Arabidopsis thaliana: one gene and its partner. The protein of the gene in region 1 purifies or fractionates together with the protein of each later gene. This does not show direct contact. Each region holds a gene or a part of one and is shown on either strand. Other genes may lie near its edges.

What was found.
Region 2: the proteins of AT3G54360 (region 1) and CAT1 purify together in Arabidopsis thaliana (affinity purification with mass spectrometry, with the first as the bait; one study listed by BioGRID). This does not show direct contact.

What each region holds. Positions count from the first base shown.
Region 1 is NC_003074.8:20,127,599-20,133,592, reverse strand, and holds AT3G54360 (zinc ion binding protein), read left to right. Parts: upstream 1-1,679; 5' UTR 1,680-1,831; intron 1,832-1,991; 5' UTR 1,992-2,011; coding exon 2,012-2,400; intron 2,401-2,487; coding exon 2,488-2,722; intron 2,723-2,841; coding exon 2,842-2,987; intron 2,988-3,621; coding exon 3,622-3,709; intron 3,710-3,790; coding exon 3,791-3,937; intron 3,938-4,709; coding exon 4,710-4,859; intron 4,860-4,960; coding exon 4,961-5,023; 3' UTR 5,024-5,039; exon of another isoform or gene 5,040-5,300; 3' UTR 5,301-5,466; downstream 5,467-5,994. Other genes in the region: AT3G54363 (uncharacterized protein), read left to right, coding at 1,058-1,354. UniProt on the Arabidopsis thaliana protein: Has holdase chaperone activity that may fold catalase to a functional structure. Not required for the peroxisome import of catalases. Required for the activity of catalases and acts mainly at the post-transcriptional level.
Region 2 is NC_003070.9:7,144,931-7,150,746, forward strand, and holds CAT1 (catalase 1), read left to right. Parts: upstream 1-1,705; 5' UTR 1,706-1,881; coding exon 1,882-1,896; intron 1,897-2,482; coding exon 2,483-2,579; intron 2,580-2,852; coding exon 2,853-3,130; intron 3,131-3,308; coding exon 3,309-4,085; intron 4,086-4,175; coding exon 4,176-4,265; intron 4,266-4,355; coding exon 4,356-4,423; intron 4,424-4,525; coding exon 4,526-4,679; 3' UTR 4,680-5,250; downstream 5,251-5,816. Other genes in the region: CAT3 (catalase 3), read left to right, coding at 1-675, 761-850, 950-1,111, 1,204-1,263. UniProt on the Arabidopsis thaliana protein: Occurs in almost all aerobically respiring organisms and serves to protect cells from the toxic effects of hydrogen peroxide.

The DNA.
Region 1 (5,994 bases):
ACAAAATAAAACATGATTGATGATTTTACACATAAACATAGTTCTCTCTTTAACCAAATAAACCAAGATCGAAAATTAACTGGCATCGGAGATTTCGTCGGAGATTGAGACACCCACTTTAAGAAAATTTGATCTTCTTGCCTTACTTGATAATTAAAAATCTTCAGAAGAAAAACCTTGGGATACTTTGGATGGCAGACGGTGGAAACTCAGCTAAACATGCAGAGACCGTCGAGAACGCCGTGGCCGGAGATATCGACTATGCGACTTGAACCGGTAGAAAGAACCCAAAATCTGGGCGGATTTCGCCCTAGATCCGTATTGTTGAAGCTGTGTGAGGAAACCCAAAATTAGGTCACCCAACCCGAATCACCACAACACCGACAGTGAGTGGCATAGAGCGATCGTGATTAGGCCAGGGAGTATTTAGTCAGAGAAGAAAACCACGCTAATTTGCAAAATCACCAATCGAAACTATAGATCTAATAAGAGAAATTGAGGAGGAAACGAAATCGAAACCAACCCAGAAATCTCCTTAACCACAACTTAAAGAGACATAACTGAACATAAACCAAAAAGCCAAACCGACGTCATGACCGTGGTGGCTCACAACGCCGGCGGAATTGAAGCGGTGCTTTTGTTTTTAAGAGAGAAGGAAGAGGATATATTTTTTTTTTTTTTTTTTTTTTTTTTGAATATTAAAAATTGTTTACTTATGTTAGCTGATTAATATTAGTAGTATCAAAAACCGTCTGTTACAATTTTCCGATAAGGCCGTCCAATTGGTTCAATTGGCTTCAGCCCGACATCCACCGGCTTAGTATGCGGCGATGGTCGGCTTTCGTCCAGTAAATCCGGCTCCCATTAGCGGTTTTGGCTGGCTTGGTATTTTCATCTGCCGTGAATCGCTGCCGTGAATCGGTTTTATGCCGATTTCTTTTAGTCCTCTTTAGTTTATCTTTTAAAAATCTCTCTGATCTATGTTTGGTGGTGCCAACCTAACAATTTCTCGTTCAACGGTGGTCTCCAACTAGCTCCTTGAGTTTTGTTTTGTTTTATGTTTCCGGTGGTTTCCAGTGAGGTTATGCGGATATCTAATCCGACCAGATCGGGTGGATTTGCTGCTTTTTCTCTTGGATGTTCTCAAACTGGTTCTTCAGATCTTTGGTTACAACAAATCTTCATCGGTAATTATGTTCAATGTAATGAAAGAAGACTTGTTTCCAGCATATTAAGATTGCCTGTAGCTGTTTCAACATTCTCCGGTGACAAGCAACAACAAAAAACGATGCTTAAACTTTTTCCGGCGTCGATTGTGTTTACAATAGTCGGAGTAATTAACGGCGAAGGATGACGGAAAGTTTCCAAGCTTTTCTTGCAACACGTTTCATCTACGTATCTTTGTGTTTGACACGTGTATTGAGCAAAATTTTATCTTTAAGTGATGTAGCCATTTGGGCCATTAATGGGTTGTAACCATTGTGATGTGGATTTTAATAAAACTAAACCTTCAGTGAAAAAAAAAAAAAAGCTGATTAATATTAAAAATCCAACCAGTTTATAATCCAGAACAACGGTTTTCTTAAATTGACTAGTGACCCAAATTCTTAAATAGGCTACAAAAACCGCAGGCCCATTTAGTAATATCTATTTTTCGTTTGACTGAGAGAAAACAAAACACCATCCAATTCCAACGCACAAAAAAAAAAAAAAAAAAACTTATCGGAAACAGAAAAAAGAAGAGAGAGAGCTATCAATCGATCATTGATTGATTGCAGAGAAGCAGCGAAAGAGACATTTCCAAATCTAATCTCAATCCAATCCAATTCAGGTTTTTTCCATCTCTCTCTGTTGAGCTACTTCTGAATTAGCTTCTTCTATGTTCGATTTCCAGCTGTTGATAGTTTAGCTAGAGAATCAATTTCGAATTTCATCTTGAGGAAGCAATTTTAGTAATTTAGGTTTTGAATTTTCCTTTTGAGGTGTTGTAGGGTTGTTGCTACCTTCACGAATGACGACGACTTCTGTTTGCCCGTTCTCGAAAGCTGCTCGTCCTGACGATGGGTCGACTCGAAAACAAGGCGAAATTACCGCTTCTGGTTGTCCTTTTTCTAAAGCTGCTCGTCCCGACGATGCCTCTGCTCGAAAGCAAGGGGAAACGACGGCTTCTGGTTGCCCTTTTTCTAAATCTGCTCGTCCTGACGAAAATGGGAGTAAAGGATGTCCTGAACAAGAAGGAAACTTGAATAAGGACTCTACTGATTCTGCAACGGTACCTGCCAAGTGCCCTTTTGGCTATGACTCTCAAACATTCAAGCTTGGGCCTTTTAGCTGTATGTTATGTCAAGCACTTCTATATGAGAGCAGTAGATGTGTGCCTTGCACACATGTGTTCTGCAAGTAAGCCATAGTTGCTCGGCCGCTTATTTCTTTTTTGGCTCATGATTGGGTCTACTTTTCTTATACTTTGTGGTTTCTTGAATGCAGAGTATGCTTAACACGGTTTAAGGACTGCCCTCTATGCGGTGCTGACATTGAAAGTATTGAAGTTGATGAAAACCTTCAGAAGATGGTTGATCAATTTATTGAAGGCCATGCTAGAATTAAGAGATCTGTCGTCAATGGAACAGAAAAAGAAGAGGTCGAAAATGATAACAAAAAAGTGATTTACGCTGACGTTTCCATGGAAAGAGGTTCTTTCTTGGTGCAACAAGCTATGAGGGTGAGTTCTGTCTCTAAATTTTGTTGACCTAACCGATGGGATTATTCTCTTTTGCACCACTTACATTTGTTATGATGTCCCGCTGTGAGATCTTGTTCTAATTCAACTTGTATGCGCAGGCATTTAGTGCCCAAAATTATGAAAGTGCTAAATCAAGGTTGGCAATGTGTACCGAGGACATTCGGGATCAACTAGGGAGGGAGGGCAATACACCAGAGTTGTGTTCACAGCTTGGTGCAGTCCTTGGCATGCTTGGTGACTGTAGGTATGATATTGTCTTCTTTTTTATCCCAAGTTGTTTATTTCTAAGATGTATCCATTCTCGAGTTTCTGTGAACAATTAAGATTATGAAAACAACGGTGCTTTCGAATGTGGTCACCAATGTGGTCTTTTATGATCCCGCTTGAGCCACTTTGTTGTTCAAATTGATTTTTTTTAATTTGGAGTTTCTCAAGTATGTGGCCCTTCCTTGGCAGTTTCCTCAATTGATAGTTTCTCAAGTCGACTGGTTGTTGCTTTCATCTTGCTTAGAGTGCGCATGGCACTTTGGGAAATACTAAAATAATTTCTTTCTCGTTTGAACTAGATTCTGGTTTTCTAGATGGACCCTGTCTACATCAATTGACTGGAAATATATTCATATATTCAGATTTTTCTGTATCCTCTTATCATTTGCATACATCTTTCTCTGTGGTTCAATCACCTCGTTCAGAATAAATGGAAAGGAGAAGCAACAGTACATGCTTGGTTCGAAAAACCTACTTTATACATAATCATTTTCTCCTCCTGAACTGTGTTATTTTGGCCAAAATGTTTGATCTTCTGTTTGGTGTGTTGAATTTTTTCTTTTTCCGGGACTTAAGTTTGATGGTTAAATTATTTTTTGTTGTTGTTGCAGCCGAGCGATGGGAGACTCAAGCTCTGCAGTCAAGCATTTTGAAGAGAGTGTTGAATTCCTTATGAAACTGCCGTTGAATGATTTGGAGGTTATAGCACATTGGTTCTTGTTAAATTTTGATGTTGAAAACTTTTTACCTTTTTGCTTACAATTTTAACTTAACTTGCAGATTACACATACACTTTCTGTCTCACTCAATAAAATAGGAGATCTAAAATATTATGACGAAGATCTACAAGCTGCAAGGTCGTATTATGATAGAGCTTTAAATGTCAGACGTGATGCAATGAAGCACCACCCAAATGCTCCTTCACAAGTAAGTGTGCCCTCATACAGTTTTCTGTTTTTGCTCTTCTTTGTTTTGTCCCAATGTTTGGTTAGCTGAACTGGCTACTCTTAGTCGCCATATACATTTCAAGGTCTCGCAGAAAAATATCTGTTGTTAGCTAAGTTATTGACTTATTGTAGCATTCGTGAAGGCTCTTTTGTAGATCGTAATCTCTCACTCTCTAGGCAGAAAGCGTTTATTTATGTGATTGTTACATCTTGGTGTTCATTTGGGTCCAGGCAAAATGAATTCAAATGCATTAAAAGATATAGAGATTAACTTAAGGTGCTAGTGGATCAAAGGATCTGAAATACGATGTAAAGTGAAAATAGTATACTTGTTCTCAATGTGTTCAAGCGGGTTTCTTGGTTCACTCTTTTCATTTTACTTATTTGTTACTTTACCATGAATGTTCAGAGAAATTCTCTAAATAGTTTCCTAGATTTTATTCAAGTCAATTGCTATTTTGTTGCCTGGGTTGAACTGAGGTTTAGGTAACTGACGTGTTGTCGTTGCAGTATACATACTTGGATGAGGTGTCATTTAATTCTCTGCGATAAAGTTACTCTCTTTTGGATACATATAATTAGATTTACGTGCATTGTAATTGGGTTATTCTGTTGGTTGGAAATCTTCTCTTTGTTTTCTTATTTTATACTTGATTTCTTGCCTAGAGAAATTGGAACTCAAATATAGTAAGCAAAGGTCTGTCCGGAAGTAGAAATTGATTTCTTTTGTTATTTCTACATTTTTTATGTAGATTCTGGATGTGGCTGTTTCCTTAGCCAAAGTTGCGGATATAGACAGGACTCTACAAAATGAAGTTGCAGCGACAGATGGGTTCAAGGAAGGCATGAGACTGCTGGAATCTTTGAAACTGGACTCTGAAGATTCTGCTCTCGAGCAACGGGTAAGATTCTTGCACGACTCCCTTTTTATTTGTATCTTATCCAAAGCTGCTGAATGTCAGTAAAACTTTATCTGACAAATGTAATTTTAACATGCATGCAGCGGCTCTCTGTACTGGAGTTCCTTAAGAAGCAAGTAGAAACCGATGCTGAAACTGCACTCTAAACCGATGCAGGCTTAAGTACGTATATAGAAATTATACCTAAGTTCTCGTCTGTGGCATTTTGCTGAATAAAGAAAGCAAAAATGTTGTATTTGCGCTCAAGGGACAAAGAAACAGAGTTGTCTGTATGTTGTGAATTGTGATGGTTTTCAACTTTCAATGCACTAATCTTGCAATGTTAAATTGTTAAGCATGATTGTACTCTATGCACTTGTGAAATTTAAAAATTAAGATATCTTAAGCGGCTACAGCTGTGAACTGCTTTCTATTTCTTTTCAGTGCAAAATGAGAAAGAACCCAACAGAGATTGAGAGATGATGTGAAAGGAAAATGCAAGTATTTGCAAACTCAATCAGCTACAAAGAGTATAAATTGCGACAACAAAAATTTGTCTTTGTTGTTTTGTTGAATGAAGTTTTTCTTGTAACTACTCTTACAAAAATAAAAACATAAACATAGTCAATCCCTAAAGCCGATGATACTATGCAAACGACAAAGATATACTAACTCCAACGCACGAATCAACAAAATTAGGTCACTTTTACGAAAATAAATCTACATAATCAACAAAATTAGGTCAACTTCGTTCTATTTGTAAAGCTTTTTTCAGTATTTTTTTCTTTAATATGTTCACGTCTTTTAACTGTTCATATAATTACGTAACTAAATCTTTAACTTCGTATGTAAAACTATGTTTTTACGTATTAGATATAGAGAAATTGTTAAGAATGTTTTTCCAAAAATATGTTTTTTTAGTACTATCCTCCCATGTAATCATTTTTATTGATATTATCTTTTAATTATTAATGACTATTTTGCTTCTATTTGAAAATACTTAAATCAACAAAATGAAAAAATGATTTTTTCCGCCAAAAAATGTACTTCACATCAACTGCTATGAAACAATGTACTGATTTTATCAATTCACAAAAATTCTTGCCTCTAATCAATCGTGATTCAAGCAATCATGCAA
Region 2 (5,816 bases), on another chromosome or scaffold:
AACATCCAAGAGTACTGGAGGATTCTGGACTACATGTCCCACTTGCCTGAGAGTTTGCTCACATGGTGCTGGATGTTTGATGATGTTGGTATTCCACAAGATTACAGGCACATGGAGGGTTTCGGTGTCCACACCTACACTCTTATTGCCAAATCTGGAAAAGTTCTCTTTGTGAAGTTCCACTGGAAACCAACTTGTGGGATCAAGAATCTGACTGATGAAGAGGCCAAGGTTGTTGGAGGAGCCAATCACAGCCACGCCACTAAGGATCTCCACGATGCCATTGCATCTGGCAACTACCCCGAGTGGAAACTTTTCATCCAGACCATGGATCCTGCAGATGAGGATAAGTTTGACTTTGACCCACTTGATGTGACCAAGATCTGGCCTGAGGATATTTTGCCTCTGCAACCGGTTGGTCGCTTGGTTCTGAACAGGACCATTGACAATTTCTTCAATGAAACTGAGCAGCTTGCGTTCAACCCGGGTCTTGTGGTTCCTGGAATCTACTACTCAGACGACAAGCTGCTCCAGTGTAGGATCTTTGCTTATGGTGACACTCAGAGACATCGCCTTGGACCGAATTATTTGCAGCTTCCAGTCAATGCTCCCAAATGTGCTCACCACAACAATCACCATGAAGGTTTTATGAACTTCATGCACAGAGATGAGGAGGTACGTCTTAGTACACCACTTGAGCTACCATTGTTAGTCTTTTTACTTGGAATCAAAATTCTCATTTGGTTTGTACTTTTTACAGATCAATTACTACCCCTCAAAGTTTGATCCTGTCCGCTGCGCTGAGAAAGTTCCCACCCCTACAAACTCCTACACTGGAATTCGAACAAAGGTCCGATTCCTGCCATGCCTTCTCTAAATCTTCAAATCCTAAACTCAAGTTTATTAGAATATTGGTGCTAAGAAAACCTTTTAATTGCTAATGTTGCAGTGCGTCATCAAGAAAGAGAACAACTTCAAACAGGCTGGAGACAGGTACAGATCATGGGCACCAGACAGGCAAGACAGGTTTGTTAAGAGATGGGTGGAGATTCTATCGGAGCCACGTCTCACCCACGAGATCCGCGGCATCTGGATCTCTTACTGGTCTCAGGTCAGAACAAAAAAACACTCGGTCAAATTTCTACGTCCTTTTTACCAAGTTTCAGCAAACTAAAACATTATTTATCTCTCTGTATCTCTCAGGCTGATCGATCCTTGGGACAGAAACTTGCAAGCCGTCTGAACGTGAGGCCAAGCATCTAGAGGCCAATCTCCATATAAGCTCAGTCTATGTGAGGTACAATCAATCTCATCGATCTATCATCGCTTGGTCGTTAAATCCGTCAAAAAGATAATCACATGTGTTGTTGTTTCTTGTCTATATAATAATAATGCTTGTAATCCCAAAAACTCATGTTTCCTTCCTTTCTACTCTCACTGTCTTTGTAATCTCTTTTTACAATAAATCAATGTTTCTTGAAGCAGTAAACAATTTCTAAGATTTATGGTGGTCGTTATACATATTATTAATTCAGGAAAAAAAAGAGAAGATACCGTAATTGAACATGTATTATTTTAAGGAGAATCCTGAAATGGATCAACAATTGTCTAATTATGGTATAGTATCTGGCGAAATCAAAGACGATATCATCCACACGTAATTAGTTTGACTATTAATACGAGGATTATCATTTGGATAAGGATTAACAAAGACAAAACACATACGTGTTTTGGTGTTGAGCTAAAATAAGATATTTTGGCTCTCGCTATAAAAAAAAAATCGACAACAGTGCAGACACACGCCGATTTGCGAGATACACACAGTCTCACCTAAAAATCGCAAAAGAAGAAAAATTCGGATCAAAATTGTCTTCAAGCATCATGGATCCATACAGGGTACATCGATTGATTCTCTTTTTTTGTAATCTGTGATTTTACCTTACTTGATTTCGTATCGATTTGGTGTGATTTCGTGTTGAATCCAAAGTGTATGAATGATCTCTCTCTCTCGGTTAAAATGATGCAAAATTGGGGTGATTGTTCGACTTGTTGAGGTTTTTTTGTGTGAATCGATTTCTTTATTATATAGTGGAGATTGGGTTTCGATTTGCATGCGTTGAAGATTCCACTGGAAAATTCAACATGTTTTTCCGTCTATTGATTGTTTATTTGTCAACATGCTCATGCTCATGCTCATGTTCTAATACACAAGTCTTAAGGCTGACGTGATCTGTCAATATCGTTGTACATGTTTTAAGGTTTCTTTACGATTTTTTTAAAGTTATTTTAATCACTGTGTTCAATTGTGAATATCATTGTTGCTTGTATCGTATTTTTTTAATTGATCATATATACTTATGTGGAATTGTTATGTATCAAGTATCAATGTATCATTATTTGTCATAGACGTTTCTCCAATCTATGGAAATTTGGTTAATTTTTTTGTGATCCAGTTCTTCTGAATTTATTTGTTGGTGTGCAGGTTCGTCCTTCAAGCGCTCATGATTCCCCTTTCTTCACTACAAACTCGGGTGCTCCTGTCTGGAACAACAACTCTTCTTTGACTGTCGGAACTCGAGGTCCGTTTCTCTTTCTTATCTCTTGAATACAAATTATAACAAATATGTTGAACCAGTGGTTGTTAGAAATGCCCTTAAAGCTAGAGTAGTGGAAGCCAAATAATTTTATAAACGTTTGGATAATAATGTCATTAGTGTTTTTGTTGTGGACTTGCGTAAATCACATTTCTTCCTTCAGTTTTATGCCAAATCTGATATAATTCCTCAATGTTGATTCTGTCTCAGTTGCTTGGATTTTTAGATATGTTAAGCGATGGTTTTATATATTGTCAGGTCCAATCCTTCTGGAGGACTATCATCTGCTTGAGAAACTCGCTAACTTTGACAGGGAGCGGATTCCTGAGAGGGTTGTTCATGCCAGGGGAGCCAGTGCTAAGGGTTTCTTTGAAGTCACTCATGACATTACCCAACTTACTTCTGCTGATTTTCTTCGAGGACCTGGTGTTCAGACTCCTGTTATCGTTCGTTTCTCAACTGTCATCCATGAGCGTGGCAGTCCCGAGACTCTCAGAGATCCCCGTGGTTTTGCTGTTAAGTTTTACACCAGAGAGGTTAGCTTTTTGTCTTATCCTTCCATTGTCTCTCTATTTTCTATAACCGATATCGATGTGTTTGCTGATATTCAAACGTTTATTTGCTTATCTATTTCGTTTCACCACCTATATGATTACTTGCAAATCATATCATACTATACTGATGATTCCTCTTACCCTCTGTTTGCAAACTCAGGGGAACTTTGATCTTGTTGGGAACAACTTCCCTGTATTCTTCGTCCGTGATGGAATGAAATTCCCTGACATGGTCCATGCATTGAAACCGAATCCCAAGTCTCACATTCAGGAGAACTGGAGGATACTGGACTTCTTCTCCCACCACCCAGAGAGTTTGCACATGTTTTCATTTCTCTTTGATGATCTCGGTATCCCACAGGACTACAGGCACATGGAAGGCGCTGGGGTCAACACTTACATGCTAATCAACAAAGCTGGAAAAGCTCACTATGTGAAATTCCACTGGAAGCCGACTTGTGGGATCAAATGCCTGTCGGATGAGGAAGCTATCAGAGTTGGAGGAGCCAATCACAGCCATGCCACCAAAGATCTCTATGACTCGATCGCAGCCGGGAACTATCCGCAGTGGAATCTCTTCGTTCAGGTGATGGATCCTGCCCATGAAGACAAATTTGACTTCGATCCGCTTGATGTCACAAAGATCTGGCCTGAAGATATCTTGCCTTTACAACCTGTTGGTCGCTTGGTCTTGAACAAAAACATCGACAACTTCTTTAATGAGAACGAACAGATTGCATTCTGTCCTGCTCTTGTGGTTCCAGGCATCCACTATTCAGATGATAAGCTACTCCAGACCCGGATCTTCTCCTACGCTGATAGTCAGAGACACCGTCTTGGACCAAACTATCTGCAACTACCTGTTAATGCCCCTAAATGTGCTCACCACAACAATCACCATGATGGTTTTATGAACTTCATGCACAGGGATGAGGAGGTAATCTTATCTCTCGGCTCTAGAAACTCCCAGATACTTAAATTCGCAATCACATTTATATGAAGTGAATTTGTTGCTTTCCAATTCCAGGTCAATTACTTCCCTTCAAGGTTGGATCCAGTTCGCCATGCCGAAAAATACCCTACAACTCCTATTGTCTGCTCTGGAAATCGTGAGAAGGTCAGAGTCCTCTACATACATTAATTTTTGATCACAAGTTTTATCCTCATAAGTCATAGTTAAAACTCAAATGTCATCTTTATATCACAGTGCTTCATCGGGAAGGAGAACAACTTCAAGCAACCAGGGGAGAGATACCGGTCCTGGGATTCAGACAGGTAAACACTAAAAACTCAAAAACCACATTGCAAAATCAACAATTACACATGAACCACAAATGTCATAATTCATTCTAATGGTCTTTTGTTTTGTACCAATAGGCAAGAACGATTCGTGAAGCGTTTTGTTGAAGCGCTTTCGGAGCCTCGTGTCACGCACGAAATCCGCAGCATTTGGATCTCTTACTGGTCTCAGGCAGACAAATCTCTGGGACAGAAACTAGCAACTCGTCTTAACGTGAGGCCAAACTTCTGAATGATATCATCTCTAAAGACTAAGTGAAATCCTATAAACTCAATATGCTCCTCTTACGGTTTGGTTTCTAAGTAATCTCGTTTATTGACAATGAAACGCTTAAAGAAGGGTACTAGTTCCTGTTTGTAATCTTCTTTTCAAAATATTAACGATTATTTTCTAAGGCAAATAAATAAAAAGCTATGACTAATATAGCTTAGTAAACAAGTATCACTATCATCCATTTGGTTCTACTTTAAAAATGGATTTTTATTTGTATTTTAATCTTCTGCATCTATGACGTGAGCTTATAGTTGGAATTTTATTGGGGTCTAATGTCAGACGCACGATCTTGATAAAAAAGTTTTATGTCTGTCCATATTTTGATAAATTGGCATAGTCATCACTCATCACGTCAGACCTTTTAATTGGTCAATCGTTATGATGCTACATCGCATTCATAATTTATAATTTACATGTAAGTGGGGGTGGAGTATTTGATTATTCCGCTGCTAGTGGAAATGCAAAAAGAATAATGAGAGCAGACCAATTTTAATTATGCTTATACTTTGTTGCGCTTAACTTTTAATCAGCTAATACAGTCTGATTAATCTGATGTCTCTCAGCCAGTAGTTTCTTTTCTTAAAGAGAACCTCAGCGCAAATCAGAAATTAGACACATGGAGCCACATCAAACTTAATCACCAATAATATCCTTTTCTCATGTATTTTTCAGTCTCATATTTTTTTTTACAACTTGTTAAGTGGTAGTGTGCGAAGATTTTAGATCGAAGTTACGCATCTTAAGAGATTATTTATCCAATGAAATGGTATAGTGAACTGTGTTTGCTAATGGTCCAGGATTTTATACATTTAAAATTCATAACTTTGCAGTTTAACGAAAAACAATAACAAATTTAACGTGTTTTGGTTGTCGTTAACAAGATCTCGGATCCATTTAGGAAAAGTCAATATCTTGATGACGAAATCAAGAAGACTTTACTTTGATTGCATGTGACGGAACTTAAGCACTATACTAAACGATAAAATGTAATTATGTAAATATCTAAGTTTTGAGGTGTATAATGCAAGAGTATAATTTCGTGGACCTACGTCTAGGTCTACCAACAAATGTACTCAACATAAATAATATCGTCTC